2 linked regions of the Medicago truncatula genome follow. The protein of the gene in region 1 interacts with the protein of each later gene in a pairwise test. Links are inferred from orthologs where the notes say so. Each region holds a gene or a part of one and is shown in the gene's direction. Other genes may lie near its edges.

Region 1 (10,080 bases):
TCCTTCTGTAGGAATATTCATTTCAGAGTATCTCACATCTATAGGGAAGGAAATTTTTGTGCAGATGATTTAGCAAATATAGGTCTTATTCTACGTGTTAATACTTCCGGAGCCCATTAGAAGGGAGTACACTAAAAATAGGATGAAAATATCTAACTTTAGGTTTGTATATTTCTGAAAAGGTTTTGGCCTAATCCATCCTTTTTCATTTTGTACTTTCTTTTCTTTTTTGGTTGATATATATTGAATGATGCATAATGCGTCATTCTAGTTTATAAAAAGAAAAATGACAACAATGAGTTCAAAGACATGAAGGATAGTTATATTTTCAGTGAAGATGGTGGTTGCTTAATCGATGCTTGATAATTTTAACTTGTTTTTATGTTGGTTTTTAAGTTTGATGGCATAATACCAAGACAATATTTGAAAAATGTTTATCATTTTATTTTACAAATCTTCCAAACTTTTGAAAGACGATAACTTTAATAAGACCCTATATGTATTACCTTCAATGACTACTCTATTATGCTATATATTACGAAGATTTCAATTAACTATGGTTTCAATAATAATCTCATCTTCCGCTATTGAAATGCTTAGAGTGGTGGTTGATTCATGAATGGAGTTGAATGACAGAAGTTGTGCAAAAAATTGTGAAAATTAGCTTTTAGAGTTCTTTATTTCTATGTTTTATTTCAATTAATAGTTTGAAGATTAGTACTGGGTATATTGACTTTTGATTGTTTTTGCAATGGTTTGTATAATGGTTTCAAATCTTTTTGATTTCTCACTCGGTTTATATTTTCATGTGATTGACTGTTGATTGTTTTTGCTATGGATTGTATCATGGATTTAAATTATGGTCTGGATCCGCAATTACGACTGCAAATATTGCTGCTGCGCACAATGGCATCACACTGCGCTTTGCTTGTTAACTATCACCAACATTTTTACATGCTAGCACCTTGCTATATTTTCAGGTGTGTACTTTGGGAGACACTAGACTTTTTCATTTGTGCATGGTTGGTTATTACACTAGATAGCGACCCGTGCGATGTATGGTTAAGGATACCAAAATTAGTTTAATAAATGTTGTTACGATAAAAAGGTGGTTGCAACAAAGCTGCGATGCATTTTCCATCCTGTGGGCACATATCAAGATTATAGGCCTACCACTTCAATCAATCTTTGTATTGCAGTACTTATAGCTCTTCAGAACCGAGTAGGTTTCTGAGAATCTTGATTCTGATTATTGCTTTGTTCTTTCAAGGGTGAAATCCTCTGAGTGTTGGTGAAATAGAATCTTTGTTTTGAGAATCTTTGTTCTTTCACAAACCTAAAGTCCTTTGCTAAGCATTTGGTGAAATAGAATGATCAGAATAATAGCACATCCTCAAGGATAAAATCAAAGTTGGTCTACCAAGCATTAACATTATTCAACTATGCTTCTTCAGAAAAACATTATTGAACTATGGTCTTGTTGTGGAAATTACAAGCTTCTAAAATTATTGGTAGAAATTAACCATTGCAAATATGTATCTCTAGCACATTGTAGATTCCTTGTTTAGACTAAAGAGTATCTTAGCATTACTAGTGAAACATATCAGGATCAACCGAATAATGATTGCAAATAATGATTCCTTGTTTACACTCAAATCATGTGGATATATTTTAATTAGGAATCAATCTATAACCAATGATTTTTTATTTTTTTTTAACAAGCCAAAATGGAAAATAACATTACCAAAAGTGTTTTATCTGGCATAAGATGTGCAAAGAGAAACAGCGAAAACAGTTACAAAGTCAGGTCATGGGTCCCTGAAAAAGGAACAACGCAATGAAGAAAACAATAATAATAATAACATTACATCAAAACACTCATGCATGATAAAGGGTGCTGCAACCACTCATGGATGCTGAAAATAAAAGCCTGCATATTGGATTTAAGCCAAAAGTACGATTGCCGTTTAACCTTGTCCGCCATGCAGTGGGAATCCAAAAACTTGTGATTAAAAACTCTATTGTCACACTCCTTTCAGATAACCCAAACGCAAGCTAGCCAGATCATCCGAAGGAATGAATGAGAAGAACTTGGTAATCCAGCAAGATGCCCGAACTGAAGGAGATGATCACGAGCCTCAAAAGGAGCGATGCAGGAGATGTCGAGCCACCGGAGAACCAAAAACCACACGCTACTTAAAGTGTTGCAGCTAAAGGACAAGTGATTTGTAGTCTCTAGAGACCCACACCCCCTTCACAAACATATTGTCGTCAAGCTAAAGTATTTGTCGCCGCACCAAGTTATCTTTAGTCGGAAGACGATCACAGAGAAGTCTCCAAGCAAACAAAGAGACTTTTAACGGAACCTGTCTATGCCACACATCGTCAAACAGACCACAATCAGGATGATCGGTTTCCTTTGTGAAGTAATGGTAAGTTCCTCTAACAGAGTAGCCAGCAATAGGGTCAAGAAGCCAACGCCACCTCTCATGAACATTATCCTACAAAATAATAGTATGCAACAACACCCCACACTCCAAAAGACTCTCCTCCTCCTAGGCCTCCTCCACTATAACAACGATATTTTGTGCAATTTGATTGAAGACGTGTGTAAGATAAACCACACTAAGAGTGCATAAAAATTAATCTTATAAATTATTAGAGTAAATTTCTGATATAATCTTCATACATAAATAGTGTAAAAAATTGTGTACCTCAGCAAATTACAACCAATTATGTGTGTAATATTTAAAATAGATAGGAGTAAAACTAAACGTAATCAATGGTCTATCAATTATTATCAATTCAAGGTGTAAAAATTGTTTACACCAATAATGTATAAATTAAATTTATTAAAAAATTTCATATCATTAAACAAATAAGATTAATTTCGAAGCACTATGTTATAATCGTATCTAATCATATAGACAAGTAATATTTTTTAAGCTAATTCTTAATACCTCTACTAATTTTAATTAATATGATTGAATGCATGTGTAAAAATATTTTATATTATCGGTCTATATGAATTAAAATTCGAAATTTATTGGTTGTTTTTCAATTCAAAAAATTTACAAACTTGCAAAATTATCTATGGTTAAAGACTTAGACTTTGTTTGGGAGTTTGGAGGGGAGGGAAGGGTTTTGAAAAAAAGGAAGGAGAAATAAAAGACATTGGGATGATAGAGTTTGGGGGTTAATTTTTTTATTCATAATATCAAATACCCCTCAATCCAAGGAACTCAAAATTATACTAGAGGAGGGTTTTTGGAGGGATTATATGAATTTTTCAAATTAAATCTATGTTGTTATAATATTCTTAAAATTATAAGTATATTAATCATAAGTGTTAATTTATCATTCTCTAAAAAATTATTCTTTCAAAAAATATGAAAGATTTTTTATTTTCCTATATATTTCCCACTCCCAAAGCGCTCATTTTCCCTCTGTTCCAAACTCTCAAACAAAGCATTCCTTTGACATGTTTAATCCTAATTCTCGGTCGTAATGTTTTTTCGTGTATTTATTTCTTTTCTACTTTTGTATCTTTGAGGACTTATTCTATTGTTGAAATTGGTATAAAAAGTAAAAAAAAATGAAACAATGAAGTAGTGTTTATTGTTAACTTCGCTATCACTCTTCTAGTGTTACTCGTGCTCGTTGTTTGGAAGCGTTAGACCTTATTGATATTTTGAGTTAATTGCTGATCATTAGAAATTAATTAATTGTTGTAGCTATTATAATCAAAATTATTGAAAGATTTTTTAAATTATATGTAGTCTTAGTGTTTATTATTATAATATGTTGGATTATAATGAAATTTCTCGAAAGTGCGAGAGAATTGGACTAACTTCAGATTATGAAGTGAACTAGTATAATTTACTTAATTGTGTCGTTTATCTTTTTCCTTAATTAACTCTTTACATACGTGCACATTATCTCCCATCTAATCATAAAATGGGTCAACACTTTTTAGTTACATGGTTAATTAATTAGTTAGTTGAATTTGTTACTTAACTAACAAATAACCAATATAAATAGGTTGCAGTCACATTTTTTCATTCACAAATGAGAATTGGTACAATAAAAATACTTTCTCTCTTAATTTCATCATTTATATCTTTTTCAACCATTCTTTATACAAATTGTTTGCATGGTAAGAAACAATAGTTGCGCTAACAGAGCCCCCACCTCTCAAATCTATTTAATTCATATTTTTAAGGAAATCTATTCAATTCATGTAATAGTAGAATAATCCTCACTTATATTTAAAGTGATTTTTACGAAACCGTGCCAAAAGTGAGTATAGTGTATTAGTAGCTCATCAATAAGCAATAAATAAATCAATGAATTCAAGTCATAATAGATTAAATACCGTTTATTAAAAAAACAAACATGGATAGAAATCAAATACTAGGAGTTACAAAAACAAGAAATTAAATTAGAAGATACTTTCTCTCTAAAAATTATCACTTAATTATGTTGAACCACATATTTTATTTTTAACATTTCTTTTTTTACTAAAATAAACTATATTCATTTATTCAAATTAGTAGAGTATATAAGAATGGATTAAAATTCCTTTAAAAAAAACAAAAAGAATGGATTAAAATTCAAAATTAATAAAAGCGAAAAGTATTAATCTGCAAACAAACTAACAACTTTTAAAATGACAAAGTAAATACAATTAATGTGACAAAATCAAAGTGACTGAAATACTCATGCATTCAGATATGCAACGTTTAAGTTTAAGTGATGATCATTTAATTGAACATTGATAGATTAAAGTTGGCTAGTCATGTCAAACCAAACAAACAACTTACCAAAATGGGAAATTAGCCAACGCTGCACAAAAACGATGAACAAAGAAAGAAACGATGCACTAGGACGACAAAATAAATTTTTTATTTTTATCTAAAAACCATTTATTTAAATTAAAAGAGAGAGTGAAATAAAGAACGACAATTTTAGACCCTCAATAAAAAAATAGAAGAGAGAACCAGCAAGAAAAACTACAACCACTTGTTCGAGAGGTAGCGTTAGTGTAATTTATTTATTTTTTCATATTTTTAGATACTTTTTTTTTTCACATTTTTAGATACTTTATAGGGTTAAGTATGTTTTTGGTCTCTATAAATATGTAAACTTTTCGTTTTAGTCCTCCCAAAATTTTCCTTCAACATTTAGTCCCTATAAAATTTTCAATCTTCACTTTTGGTCCCTCTTTAAAGTAAAATCATATGTAGAATTCATATTATTTAATAAAATTTTCCAGGAAAATTCGAAATATTATAAGAACCACTTCAAAAAAATTTGAGAATTTTTTAACAAAACGTGAATTTAATATGAATTTTTATATTTTTTACGGTTAAAAATTTATATTTAATTTGTGTTTTGTTAAAAAATTCTAACTTTTTTTAGGAATTTTTTTTAGAATATTTTACACATTTCTTCCAAATTTTATTAAAAAATACAAAAATTAAATTTAAAATAAGGACCAAAAATAGTGATTGAAAATTTTATAGGGATTAAATGTTGAAGGAAAATTTTAGAGGGACTAAAACGAAAAATTGACATATTTATAGGGACCAAAAACATATTTAACCCTACTTTATAAATTACTTTTTGTTGGGAACGAAAAAACCATATACTAAGGTAAGAAAACGAAACATAGTAAAAAACATAGAGAGACAAAAAACCCAGTCAAACAACACAAAATCCCTATCATACCCCTAATCCACATCAGCCTTACATTAGGCGGGAAAAACCTGTAGGACATAACATATGTGGCGCCAAAACACAATCTTAACCTTTTTTTAATAATAAAAAAACATTATTATTAAATAAAATTAATATGTTTATTCTCTTTTCGTGAGTTTCTGAGATTTCTCTGTTCTTATTCCCCCCTTTCCTTCATCCTAGGGTTTCTCAATTTCACACCTAAATTGCGATTCCTTGTCAAAATTCACCCAATTTTCGCTCGAATTAGGGTTTCTACTCACTCGATCTGTGTGAATTAGGGTTCTTTCATGAGTCCTTCAGCTGAAACGGAGATGGAAGATACTAAGCTTTCTGTTGTCGAAAATGGTGACCAAGCTGTTTCTCGTTTTGCTGAGTTTTCAAAGGTGATTGCTTTGTTTTAATTTTCATTTTTCGTTTTCTGGGTCAGTTTTTTGATGTGAAATTAGTTTAATTAATGTTTTTTTTGGTGTTGTGTTTTTATTTTGTTTGAGCTGATACTGTTTGTGAATTATGTTTATAAAGTTTTGATCTTTAAGTTTTTTAGTTTGTAGGGTTCGTTTGTGATTTGAAGAAGTGAAATGAAATTTGTTCTTTTTGTTTGTAAACCCTAAATTGAATTATTATTGAGAGATAAAATGCATGTTAAAATGTTTTATTGATTAATCGATCGATCTTCACGGAAAGATAGGTGCATAGATTTTTTTTTTGGGTTAATTAAGTTTTTAGTCCCTATAAATATTCACAGTTTTGTTTTTAGTCCCTACAAAATAAAATCACACTTTTTAGTCCCTGTGACATTTTCCTTAAGCATTTTAGGGACTAAAAATGCTGATGGAAAAATTTTATAGGGACTAAAAATGCTTATGAAAAATTTTATAAGGACTAAAAATGTTGATGAAAAATTTTTAGGGATTAAAAAGTGTGATTTTATTTTGTAAGGACTAAAAACAAAATTTTAAATATTTATAGGGACTAAAAACTTAATTAACCCTTTTTTTTTTGTGATTTGAGGCATTTTTTACATTTTGGTGTATGATAAAGTTGAGTTTTTTATTATTCCTTTTTGACTTGGTTAAATTAATCAGACATGTTTTGGTGATAGTATGTGATGGAGAAAACTTAGGGAGCAATTAATCACCAACCCTTCCAAGGTCATCAATTTAGCAGATCAGCAACCCTTCCTAGGTCATTAATTTAGCGGAAATGAATGTTTAAATTCAGAAAAGTTTGTCCGATTTATTGATCTGTCATGTACTGTCGGTTAATGTGGTTGAAAAATTGTGTGGTCGGGCGTTTTCACTTTGTGATTAATCGGTCTGCATTGATTTGTTGGGAGTCTTTCTTTTAGGATCACTATTATTAATTGATCTGTCGTTTCCGGTTCTTTTGTGTTATTGGGAGGGGAGTTTGACATCGGTTACCTATTCATTATTAATTTGTTCCAGAAAGAGTTTATGGTACAAATCAATAGTTGTGAGTAGCATTACTAATTGCATCTGTTGTTTGAAACATGAAACTCTTAGCTTATTTCAAATAACGGATGGATTACGAAGGAAAGTCATGCTGCCCAATTAAGCGTTGGCTATCCCTTCACACCCCAGCCCTTCATTTTTTCGCCAAGTCCTGTCACTAAGCCACATGTGTTTGGAAGCTTGCATTATTTTCGGTCAACTCACTCCATTTACTTGCCATACCTTCTCATTATGGCTATGCTCTGCTGTATCCTCTGTTGCACAACAATTTTCTATGTGTATGCCAGACACCAAATAGGATAAATGTACATGTATGGTTATTACTTGTGTTTAGACAGATCTAATGAGTTTTAAACTGAGGTTTTTTATTCATTAAATTATACATTGATTGGCTCTGTTTAATTGACAGTCTTTTAGACAGATAGTGAAGATGACTTAAAAATGTGCTTGTGGTTGATGATACAAAAATATTAAGTACTAACCCTTATTTATACTATCCAAAGATTCCAAATCCTAATTAAATAGGGAAACAAATTATGATAATATCCAAGTAAAATGGGAAACTAATATCGAGAGACACTGCAAGATAGGAAAACAATCCTACGAGATAATATAATATTTTTGTGACAGGATAATTTTTATATATTTTAACTCTCTCTTTTGTTGCAGAATGAGCTAGCATTGGATGAGAAAAGCTGTAAAGAAGCAATGGATCTGTTTGGAGAAACCAAACATCTTCTCATGGCAAATGTTTCATCAATGGGAAATGGAACGGTACGTATGCACACAACTCTCTAGTATGAAATCCATTTGTCATTGAAGTTTTTATTTGAATTCATGAGGTTTATAAATATTTTCAGATAGAAGAAGCAGAGCGGTACTGGTTTGCTTTTATTTTATACTCTATCAAGAGGCTGACTCAGAAAAATGAGGAAAGTGAAAAAGAAGAGATTGAGAATACCGGTCTTACCTTGTGTCGAATATTGAGAGCAGCAAAGCTTAAGTATTTTTCTGACCTTTATCTAGTATCAAAGTTTGTAGTTTGGTCTTTTATTAACTGGTATGTTTATCTTGTATTGAACAGCATTGCAGATTTTTTTAAAGAACTTCCTCAGTTTGTTGTCAAAGCTGGTCCAATTTTAAGCAATCGATTCGGCTCTGATTGGGAAAACAAGCTTGAGGTATTGACTAGTCTGAGAATCACGATTGTATTTTTGCCAAGTTAATTGTGATTATATACTTTTAAATCCTTCAAATCAGTTATATACTTAGCTAATATTTTATGTTGCTATGTTTATATTAGGCAAAAGAGATGCATGCTAACACTATTCACCTGAAGATTCTTAGCAAGTGAGTAGCCCAGTATTTTTTATGTTTTTTTTTGCAGTATAAGGTTGCTTGCTTTGATTATAGTTTGCTTTACATCTTACGACTTTGATTGTGCCAGGTATTATAAGCGTGTATTTGAAGAGTTCTTCGTGTCAACTGATGCAAATGTTGAAAATAAGTCGTCTGTTACGGGCCGTGTATCTGAGTGCCATCGTTTTGGATGGTTACTTTTCTTGGCCCTTCGTGTACATGCTTTCAGCCGTTTTAAAGACTTGGTGACTTGCACCAATGGTTTAATTTCTATCATGGTCAGTTAGATTCTTTTGCAGTCTTTTAGTCTTTTTCATTAATGGAATATCCATGAAGTGGTTTCATATATTTTTTTTCTGTTCACATAAAAATGAGTATAAATTCAATTATTGGTGTCTGTTTCACTGCTGAAATTTTGCACACTTGAAAATAATTGTTTGAGCATTGATATTTTTAATGTACATAGATAAATTCAATTTTTCCATTTTTTTCTGGTTGTAATACTTTTGAGGTGAAGGAAACAATTTCTTATTGTTCTTGGTGTATCTGTTACAGGCTATCCTAATTATTCATGTTCCGGCTCGTTTTCGGAATTTCAACATTCACGACTCTGCACGCTTTGGTAATTTCTTTGTTACACCTTCCTGCATTTTGATATTATACTGTTATTGTTCTGTATCTTAGGGACATGGTATTTGCACACATACACATTTAATTATAATTATAAGGTATTTCAGTGGTGGGCTTAAATGTGGATTAATTTTAATTTAAGTCCATTCAAAATTTCTTGCAGTTAAGAAAAGCAGTAAAGGTGTGGACCTCCTTGCTTCACTTTGCAACATATATAACACTTCAGAAGATGAGTTGAGGAAAACCATGGAGCAAGCCAATAATTTAGTAGCAGATATATTGAAGAAGACGCCCTGTTTGGCATCTGAATGTGAAACTGAAAACCTAGAGGATTTTGATAAAGGTTTACTTTCCTTTGCCCTTTTATCATTCTATGCATCAGGATTCCAACATATGATATCTCTAACTGTTGTTTACACTTTGTAGATGGTTTGACTTATTTTAAAGATCTCATGGAGGAATCATCTCTGGCGTCTAGTTTGAATATCTTAGAAAATGATTATGATCAAATGACTCGCAACAAGGGTGAACTGGATGAAAGGTTATTCATTAATGAGGATGACAGCCTGCTAGCTTCAGGAAGTTTGTCTGGAGGTTCTTCAGTTTCAGCAGGAGGTGTAAAGGTATGTCTCATTAAAAATTTCTTCTAAATTTCTTGTTCCGTCTTGTGAAGATAATACCTAAAATAATCTATTAATTGTGTTCTGTAGAGGAAATATGATTTGATGATGTCACCCGCCAAGACCATTACAAGTCCACTTTCACCCCAGCGCTCTCCTGCATCCCATGCTAATGGCATTCCAGGTAGCGCAAATTCAAAGATTGCTGCCACCCCTGTAAGCACAGCAATGACTACTGCAAAGTGGCTTCGAACTGT
Region 2 (11,052 bases), on another chromosome or scaffold:
CTAGTCAAAACTTAGTAGAATTGGATGATGATGTTTAAAATCACACTCCATGTTTATAAAGCTACTAACTGTGAGCGATGATAAAGGAAGCACGTTCGTGTGAAGGTTGCGCATCAATAACATTGTTAACAGATGAGGTTGCAAATGAGGAAGTTGATATCTGAACTTGGGGCGCCATTGTTAGACATATTGCAATTCAATAACAAAAACTCAAACAACCGTACTTAATGCTCTACTAAAGAGGTTAAGAAATCCACAACTGGAGTACATGGTTCTTTTCTTAGTCTTCATCGTTTGAAAAAATATGGAATCACAATAGAGCAAATTAACTATACTTTGGCTAAATTTTTGCTACATCAATAATTATTATTCACTGTATAGTTGGATTTGGATGGAGATTTATTGAAACTGAAAGGGAGAGATCACGAGTTTGATATTCGTCACTGTTGAAAAACAGTTTGAATTGATCTCCAAAATAATTTGTTCAATTTCAATGCAATGCATTCCATCTACTAGTCATGTGCAAAAGACATTCTTTATATTTTAATATTTGTGGACTCATGTCTCTGTTTGTTTTCGTTAGGACAGGAATCACGACACATAAAATCATCACCTTGAACACTATTTCTCTCTTCAGTGAAATTTTATGTGAAAAGTTGAAAGTTTTTTCTAGCATTATAATTTCTTATAGATGAAAAAATTATTTGGTAAATAAATTATTATATGGAATTTTACTGTGGACCACTGAACTCATCATTAGAAGTTTCACTAACATACGAAAGGAGTTACTCAAAATACAGAAGATGTTATGTAGCATGGTAAACGCAAAACGGGGCACATGTAAAACAAGATATTCTTAAAACAACGGTAATAATAGGGGCCAGATGAAAATTGCTGTTCACACATGTTATAGGGTTGAAAAACACCAGTAAAATATCAAAATATCATTTCTGCAGTTAACTGTCGAAAAAAAATAAAACCAACTGCAGTTAACTACCGAGGAAATGAAAACCCAGAATTATCATCATCATCTTCTTCTTCTTCCTGTTATGAGTTTCACATAAGAACAAACTTTCAAACTTCAGGAAAACCCTCTTCTTCCTCCTCCTCTTCTTCATATAAAAAAAGACCAAAAAATTCAGAAAAACTAATATAAATTCACAATTAAAATTCTTTAATCAAATCTCTCTCTGCACAAAGTCTTACCGGTGAATCAAAACAAAAATGTAAATTCACGCAGCACTCACCCTCACCTCAAAGTGATTTTTGTTTTACTGGTGAATCAAAACATTGATTTATGGTGAATTTACGTTGGAAAACTTCTTTATGTACAAATTTATGGTGAATGAAAACTTCATTACCATTCAAATTAATGGTGAATTATGGGGATATAATATCACTACCACCATCAACAAATCTCTCTCTGCACAACGAAGAAGATGATGATGATAATTCTGGGTTTTCATTTTCCTCTGTAGTTAACTGCCGAGGTTTTCCTCGGAAGTTAAATGCAATCGATTTTATTTTTCCTCGACAGTTAACTACAGAGGGGGTATTTTGATATTTTACTGGTGTTTCTCAGCCCTATAACATATGTGAACAACAATTTTCGAGCCAGATTGTGTACAGTAACCAGCTTCACACAGTTTAATACAGTAAACAATTTCGACTACATAGTAAAATTTATTATAAATAAATGATCACATCCATCAGTTTGAGATCAAACTATCAAGATATGTTAGATCATCATGCAACTAACTAGAGTAATGTTATTTGAACATGATTAACATCTTATTTCAATATGAAATAAAAATAGGTTATTTATATCCATTGATGTGACTTGAAGAAATAATAAAAATAAACCACATGTTAAACAATAAAATTTATAATTTATATGTATATTGTGGACTCTTTAACACGGTGAATTTTAGGATGAGGGTCCAATTAGGTCCCTCACCGGTGGATCACGAAAAAAAATACCAATAGATTAAATAGATGGTTCATATTTATTAAAAGCAATAGTGAAAATATGTACAACTACTCACATTCAATCCTATCCTAAAATGATTCTAGTGTAGTTACAAATCGTGTTCTGATTCTTCCTCTATAATCAGTTACCACTCTTACACTCAAACCATCCAATATGTGAATCAAGTTATGAACCCTAAAATTAACTAATTTTTTCTTTTTCTTCAACAAATCTGTTAATTGCAATCCCATTAAATCTTCAGTCACGCAAGCGCTCTCATATATGGGAGAAAAATAAGTAATTGATTGAGAGTTCGTATAACATGAAATTTTGCATCAAGAAGGAATAAAAATACAATTAAAATTTGCGATGCATTCTTGTTGCTTTTGTGGCTTGTAATTCTTCAGTTCTGTATTATAGTTGGTTGATTAGAAGTTTGTTCAAGCAATTTTAAAGGAGTTAGATTGGTGCTTGTAGAGATTTTATTGATGGTGTATTTTCATGGTTTCACCCTATATTATAATTCTTCTTCCATGATACGACTCTTCGCTCAAATCATATCACACTCAAACCATGAAATTGAGTCTAAGTTATGAATCCTAAAATTAAATAATTTTCTTCTTCAACAAACGGCAATAATCCCCTTTTCAGTCCAAATCAGTGAATGATTTAATTTTATGAACTCTGAAGCATTTGTAATCACTCTAATGTCATAGTTCACTCTACTGGTTATGGACGGAGAATTATACAACAGACATTGGGGAAAACCATTAAAGGATAAGATTGAATGTGAATAGTTGTATATGTTCCTATTTTTAATTTGAATAAATCTGAAGCATGTATTTAATTCAACAGTGTTTTTTTTGTGGTCCATTAGTGAGGGACTTAATTGGATCCTCACCCTAGAATCCATCCTTTAACACACTACCTCACGCTCAACATTACACGGTTCGATGCATGGATATAAATGGTGGATGGTTCGATTGTAAAAATCTGATAGTAGGTGATCCAACAAGATCTTGGAGAGACTTTGATATTATCTTATAAATTGTGGTTGAGCTAACACAGCTTCACAAAATCGATTTAAAACGTGATGATTGCTTTCATTTATAAACTCATTGTCGGACCATCTTTTATTCAATATGAAACTCTTTAATTAAATGTTAATAGTAGATTAAATCATCGTATTAATATTATGGTAATTAAAAAAAAATTGTATAAAATAGCAATTTTATAACTGCAAACATGGTATAGAGAGAAAATTCAAAAAGTTACAGCAAGCCAAGCAAGTAGCTAAGGGCTATTCACAGTTCACACGTAGTACCAGTACCTTTTAGGCATTGATTTTGCTGCCACCTTTTCCGTAATGTGTCCGTTGCAGTGGTTGGTTTGACAAAATATGTTAATGGCACCAAATACTAAGCAATAAAATCAATTAAAAAAATAATCTGATTGAATGAAGTCAAGAGGAAAAAGCTGATTGGTGATGCCGTAGTTGAAAGCAAAATGTCAAACACTACGATTCACATTTTTTGGAACTGAGGTTTGACAGCTCCTTCCTTCTCCCTCCTCGTTTATAGTGACACTCCCTCCCTCCATATCTATCCCTTTTTTATGTCATTTTTTATTGCTCAATAATTCTTTTTCTAATAATAATTCCACAAATAATAGTAGTGTACTAATAGACATAATAATGCCAATTTTCAAGTGTCATTGTTTCCATATTTTCAATTTAAGCATTATCATATGATGGTGCTCCATGGGAACTTCAATAGATTATCTATTCCATAATATACATTGATTTAACATATTTTAACTATATTTTTCTATTAATTCACAGAAATAAATAATGTTATTATGTGAGATATTGTTGGATTCGTTTCGATGAATATTTTTAAAATATTAAATCTTCAAAACTTTTTTTAGTAGATAATTGAAGATATCAAAAATAAAACATATACATTGGTACATGTGTTGGACTCAACTAGGTCATCTAATGTAGGATGGATGGAGTATTATTTATTCAAGAAATACTAGCATGAGTAATTTGTTTTAGAGAAATGTTAACTGGTACCCCCAAGACACTAGTTAAAGAATCAAATATAATAAGTATTGTATTGGAATTTGTGCTGTCAACTCCTCAAAAACGTAAAATGTGTTATTTTCACTTTAAAACTTTCGTTTTTAATTTCCTTCCGACAAATGTTAAAGAATTTTTTCAAGTAATTTTGTTTCAAAAGTGGGTTACAAGCACATCAAGATTTCCATATAATCATTATCATATGATTAATTGCATTTTTAACAATGTCCACTGCTTCTAAAAAAAACTGTAACTATCGAAAATTGAAGAGATATAATTTTGACACACAAAAGGCCAACACCGAATAAAATATTGTTTGAGTTAATGTGTTTTTAGTCGAGGTCCGAGAAAATATTATATGAAAATCTAAATAATTTGTTCTAGAAAAATTAATTTGGAAATCATTATAGAAAAAAAGCAAAAATGGTTAACAACAGAAATTTAACTCTAGGTGTATTTTAAAAGTGGAAATCGGTGAACCCCTGAAGAAGTACTTTTGGACATTATTTCTCAGAAAAAGACTCTGACAATGGGTGGAGTATTTAATTTTATTGTGCAGATAAAAAAGCAGTATTTACTGGCAAGGAAGACAACGAAACCAAGATAGATCAGTGTTATTTTTAAGCCAGAACAGTCATTTCTGAATAATCAAAATGTGACAAATTTTCTTTTAAAAAAAAAAATGTGACAGTTTTTTAACAACGTATAAAAATAAAAATACATCTAAAACAATTGTTAACTTTTTTTTTTTTTAAGGAAAACAATTGTTAACTTGATTAGATAAGAAAGATAACATTTTAATCAAATTGACAATCGTATGTCTAGAAGTCCTAACTCAACTGGTAAATGCTGAAATTGCAAGGTCGGACGTCGTGACCTTGAGTTCGAACCTAAGATCTCACAGTTGTGTATGAGTTTAATTTCAATGAATTACCACTTCATCTAAGACCAAAAAAAATATTGACAATCGTATAAACATACGATGGCAGACAATGTTTGTAGTAATTTATAAGAATTAAATTTAATCATGACTATTAAAGAGCTTCTTCGTAGAGATTGGATGGTTAGTTTACGACATACATTGCGTGAGGGTAACGCTGCAGCTGATTTTCTAGTTAAAAAGGGTGCTCTCAGTGATAGTAGCCTTGTTATTTTGAATGAAGCCCCTCCTGATATGGCATGTGTCCTCTTAGCAGCTGCAATAGGTGTTGAGTTTGTTCGACCCTAGTATGGGTCTATTTTAGCTTCTCTGTTTTTTTTCCCTTTTGTTACCAAAAAATCAAAAGTCAAAACTTATATTTTTAACACAAATTTTCTATATATAATTTCCTTAATCATTGCTTTGATGGTAATGGTTAGCAGAACCCTGATTCTTTTTGTTTTTTTTTTTTTAAATTCACTTTGCACTTTAATGTGAATTTCTCACTTTTGAGTAGTCACATTCTATTTTGAAGTTGTATTCTCACATCTTATATGAATAAATGTGTATGATATATTCAAGGAAAGAGATACAAAATAATATAAAAGTCATAAACCGAATAGATTTACTCTATCTAAGATGAACCGTTCAAAAGAATCTAAATTTAATTTATGAATAGCGTAGAACAATTTTTGACCAAATTTTACCTATCTTTCAATCGAACTCAATCACTAAAACTTTCCTATCGTAAAAATTGGAAGATTAACACACACTCAAAAAAGAAAAGTGCAAACATGATAAGTTAATGTTAAATTTTGTGTAAAAAAACATATTTCATAAATGAGACAAGTTTTACAACTTGCATACGTTAGTTTTCATCTTTTGGATCAATAAACTTCACCATAGATAGAATACGAATTATTTATTTAATAGTGAAAATAACATATATATATATATATATATATATATATATAAATTATGCAAAATTATTTATCTGTTCATGTTAGACAAAACATGAAGATATTATGGAGTATCAAGTTTTCTTAGGATCATGAAAATGAAGAATTGAGCAGCATGTTTTTGATAAAAATAAAAATAAAAATTGGGTTGTACTATATGGCATGGCACTAATGCATGTGGTTGGACAAAATAATAATAATAATAATATGGTTAGCAAAATATAAATAAATAAAATAAAACAAAGTGCACAAAGACGAATAACTAGCCGCCGTGAGCAGTTTTGATTCATGTTCTTCTACCCAAGACACACTCCCTTTTTCTTTGTTTTGCACCCTCCCATGCAAGAGAGAGAGATTTATCAGAAACATCCAAAAGCCTAAAGGCATAGAGAACCGTGTTGCTAGAGAGAGAGAGAGAATCAAACTCAATTACTACTCCTATGAGAAGAGAATCCTTTAGCTACTGTCCCAATCTTCACAACGTTATCTCCTTGTAACTTTGGAACCAACAACACTACACACATGTATGTATTTGCCTCTTAAACCAACATTTCTTCTAGTATAGTACTACTATATGCCCCCCCCTTAATTATTTCATACTATTAATGCACTTGTACTAGTACTTTACACATTCATTTTCAACCCAACCCAACCCAACCAAATATTCATCTTGCTTTCTATCAATATGGCTGCTTGTGCTTTGTTCAATGGTGCTACTACTGATGAAACCAACAACAATAGTGCTTCAAACTCCAGCAATATCAGTAGTGAAGATTTACACACTCTACACAACAGCAACACCAACATGCCACAACAACAACAACCTCATTCTGATAGAAAAGTGCTTAGAAAAAGAATGGCTTCTGAAATGGAACTTCAACTTCAAGTCCACAACAACAACAATAGATTTTCTCGTAGAAACAACAACAACATTTCCTCATTGAATTGTTCTTTACCTTCTTCCACAGAAAAAGGTGTTACAACAACAACAACAACAACACTAGCCGCAGGTACAAATAATAATGCTAATAATAATAACTTTCATTATAATACTAATAATATAAACAATAGTAGTCATCATAGTAATGTTGCTTTGTCACGAGATAACGTTGCTGTTCAAAATTACCCCACTGTGACCGTCACAACCAACTACTCCACTATGTTGCTACCTTCTTCTTCCAACAATCTCAACAATTCCTCAACCTCAAACTACGCTCATTTTCAACAACCACTTGTTGAGGAACAAAACCATGTTCCTAATATTTGTGGTTTTTCTGGTTTACCACTTTTTCCATCTCAAAACCAACCCAACAGAACCAGCAACAGAAACAGTAACAGTAACATAAGTTCTGCTACTAATATTGTTGATGTTGTTAACTCTTCTACACCTTCTATGATGGACGAAACATCAGCTACAACAAACTGGATTGATGGTATTTTGAAGGATCTTATTCATACTTCAAACAGTGTTTCTATTCCTCAACTTATCAACAATGTTAGAGAGATTATATATCCTTGTAATCCAAACCTTGCTCTTGTTCTTGAACATAGGTTACGTCTTCTTACAGAAACTGCTCCAAGTGTTGTTCCTGAGAGAAAAAGAAACAACACTGAACAACAAAGTGTTTCTAATGTTAATGTTTTACCTGCTTCTAATGTTAATTCCTCAGTCAAACTCATGAACCGTGTTGATGACATTGTTCCACATTTTTCTGATTCATCAACTCTTTTGAATCAAAATCAAAACATGTTTCCTAATTGGGGTGTGCCACAAATCAATAACAACAATAACCCTTTGGTTACTTTACCTTCACAACCACAATCAACACAACAAGATCAACATCAACATCAACAACATCAAGAGCATCAAGAAGATCTTGTACCTGCAACAACACCACCACCACCAACTTCTGCTGAGTTAGCAATAACAAGAAAAAAGAAAGAGGAGATTAAAGAACAGAAGAAGAAAGATGAAGAAGGTTTACACCTTCTAACATTACTTCTTCAATGTGCAGAAGCAGTATCAGCAGAGAATCTTGAACAAGCAAATAAGATGTTACTCGAAATTTCGCAGCTTTCTACGCCTTTCGGGACCTCGGCACAAAGAGTAGCAGCTTATTTCTCAGAAGCAATTTCAGCAAGACTAGTGAGTTCATGTTTAGGAATCTATGCAACACTTCCACCACACACACTACATAATCAAAAAGTTGCTTCAGCTTTTCAAGTCTTCAATGGTATTAGTCCATTTGTGAAATTCTCTCATTTCACTGCTAACCAAGCTATACAAGAAGCTTTTGATAGAGAAGAAAGAGTTCACATCATAGATCTTGATATCATGCAAGGTTTACAATGGCCTGGTCTTTTTCATATCCTTGCTTCAAGACCAGGTGGACCTCCTTATGTGAGACTCACTGGATTAGGTACTTCCATGGAAACCCTTGAAGCTACTGGTAAACGTTTGTCTGATTTTGCATCTAAACTTGGTCTTCCTTTTGAGTTCTTTCCTGTTGCTGAGAAAGTTGGAAATATTGATGTTGAGAAGCTTAATGTTAGTAAATCAGAAGCTGTTGCTGTTCATTGGTTGCAACATTCTCTATATGATGTTACTGGTTCAGATACAAACACTTTATGGCTCTTGCAAAGGTTGGTAATGGTAATAAAAGTTTAGGTGCATATACTCTGCATGAAATGTTGTTATAGTTTGTTATTGTTACTCTTTTCCATTTCTTGTTGGTTTTGTATATATAATCTACATGATTTAGTGGTAGCTGATATAGAAAAATAGCACTTTTTCATGAAAGATTTCCCAAAACTTTATGCTTTTTATTACCTTTATAGACTATAGTGCTCACTTTATGTCTACCTTTTTTCTCTTCTAAAGGTAAAATTGGAAGCTATGATTATGTCTTTGTGTAAATTAATAGATAGAAACAAAAATAACTATTTGTTATTAAGATGATGTTTATAGTAAGTTTTTAAGGACATAGCTCTCATGTATGATTGTTATCACAATTTACAAACATGGCATTAATATCTCTATAGTTTCTAATTCAACATTGGATTTGCATGGGATTGTTATTCTGGTTATGTGTTTATCTATCTTTGTCTCTCTTACTTTTTATCTTTTACCAGTTACGCACATTTAAAAAATACAAGGACATCGTCAAAAAATCATTTATCTTTTTGTTATATGTAGGTTGGCACCTAAAGTGGTAACAGTAGTGGAACAAGACTTGAGCAATGCAGGCTCATTCTTGGGAAGGTTTGTGGAAGCAATACATTACTACTCAGCATTATTTGATTCTCTTGGTTCAAGCTATGGAGAAGAGAGTGAAGAGAGACATGTGGTGGAGCAGCAACTATTATCAAGAGAGATTCGTAACGTACTTGCAGTTGGTGGACCATCAAGGAGTGGTGAGATAAAGTTTCATAATTGGAGAGAAAAGCTTCAACAGTGTGGTTTTAGAGGTATCTCTTTGGCTGGTAATGCAGCTACACAAGCTAGTCTTCTTCTTGGCATGTTCCCTTCTGAAGGGTATACTTTGGTTGAGGATAATGGTATCCTTAAACTTGGTTGGAAAGATCTTTGTTTGCTTACTGCTTCTGCTTGGAGACCTCCCTTTCATACCAACAATATCATACCACATCATAACTGATGGAACTAATCAATCTCGTCATTGATTTAATATCGAACGACTCAGTACCTCCATGACATAGTTACTGCAGGGAATCTAATCTCTGCTTAGTTAGGAATGAAAATAGATTCCCCGCAGTCACTGGTCATGTAGTAATGATTTTGATGGTTGATGAAGATCGGACGGTTGAAATTGATTTACCAAAGTTATAATGTGAGTCGTCTGATTTATATCTCATGGATGAAGATTGGATGGTTGAGATTGATTTACCAAAGTTAAAATGTGAGTCGTCTGATCTGTATCTCATGACTTGCACTAGCTTAGTCCCTGTTGATGGCCTTTTGATTTGCATATTATAATCCTTTGTAGCATCCCTATGTTCCTTTAATCAAAATTTAAGAGATATTATTAGGTGTTTAGGAAGCATGTGATATTTCTTGCTGCCAAATGTGTACCGCTTCAGTGATGACACAAAAATGTACGAGTTAATAATAGAAGAGAGGGATGATAATATGGCTGAAGAGGTACACATTTAATATGATAGTATTTTGTTTTATTAAGAGAACTCATAAGCATGCTATTGTGATATTTCATACCTTTATGGGTACCAAATTATATATACCTTTACTATGTGTTTTATAATGCGGTGACAAAACAGAGTCATGCATGCATGAGAGTAGCTCTAGTAACCATCACATTTATTTTAAATTGGACATTACATTTTTATCTAAAATTTTAAGGCATGGATACAAGTCTTCTCACTTATTGCTCAACTTCTAAGTTATCATTGAATGATGACCTTTTTACTCAAACTTATCATACCAACATAAAAATTAATTTTGAACGAATGCATTTTGTAAATTCGCTTTTAGTTAAAAGTGAGTGAGTTTGAAGTCATTTTTATTTGAATAAACTTATGTAAAAGTGGGTTGAATAATAAATGTAAAATAAGATTTATTCACTTAAAAAAGAGTAGGACAACTAAAAAACACGTTTAAAATTAGAAAGTTAGAAACAATTCAAAAGTCAGTATATCAATTCTTCTTAAACACACCCTAAAAATACCAAAATGGATTATACACCTCTAAATTAAATTTTAGCTCATGTGAAAGTGAAATGATACACACATTTTGATTAGTGGTTGGAATTGCTACGTAGCAATGGGCTGAACTATACGGATCATACAAAAATTTCACTATCTCTTGGAAACAGACACTTGAAAAGATTCAGATATCTCCGCAGAGTAATGTCACGAGTCATGATAAATAATTTTTTTTTGTACAGTTTTCGTACATATTTAATTTAATGGAGTTATACGGTATTGGATCGACATTTTCACCGACGGATATGAAGTCTCCAAAGCATAAGGTGTACTAAGAAGGCCCCTAATAATTACAACCTGTCATTATTACAAAAAACGATTAGCCAATGTCCAAACACAACAATGAGTTTGACCACCATGAACTAAAGCCATAAACAAAGTTGATGTT

What was found.
Region 2: the proteins of retinoblastoma-related protein (region 1) and protein SCARECROW interact in binary tests that used the Arabidopsis thaliana proteins (3 or more experiments, as listed by UniProt). The link is inferred for Medicago truncatula from reciprocal best matches to the Arabidopsis thaliana genes RBR1 and SCR.

Annotation. Positions count from the first base shown.
Region 1 is NC_053049.1:15,475,446-15,485,525, reverse strand, and holds the start of retinoblastoma-related protein, read left to right. Parts: upstream 1-5,851; 5' UTR 5,852-6,029; coding exon 6,030-6,125; intron 6,126-7,883; coding exon 7,884-7,988; intron 7,989-8,074; coding exon 8,075-8,217; intron 8,218-8,298; coding exon 8,299-8,395; intron 8,396-8,517; coding exon 8,518-8,564; intron 8,565-8,661; coding exon 8,662-8,851; intron 8,852-9,128; coding exon 9,129-9,195; intron 9,196-9,366; coding exon 9,367-9,546; intron 9,547-9,629; coding exon 9,630-9,826; intron 9,827-9,913; coding exon 9,914-10,080. UniProt on the Arabidopsis thaliana protein: Key regulator of entry into cell division. Acts as a transcription repressor of E2F target genes, whose activity is required for progress from the G1 to the S phase of the cell cycle.
Region 2 is NC_053048.1:34,592,456-34,603,507, reverse strand, and holds protein SCARECROW, read left to right. Parts: upstream 1-6,219; 5' UTR 6,220-6,612; coding exon 6,613-8,570; intron 8,571-9,123; coding exon 9,124-9,583; 3' UTR 9,584-10,204; downstream 10,205-11,052. UniProt on the Arabidopsis thaliana protein: Transcription factor required for quiescent center cells specification and maintenance of surrounding stem cells, and for the asymmetric cell division involved in radial pattern formation in roots.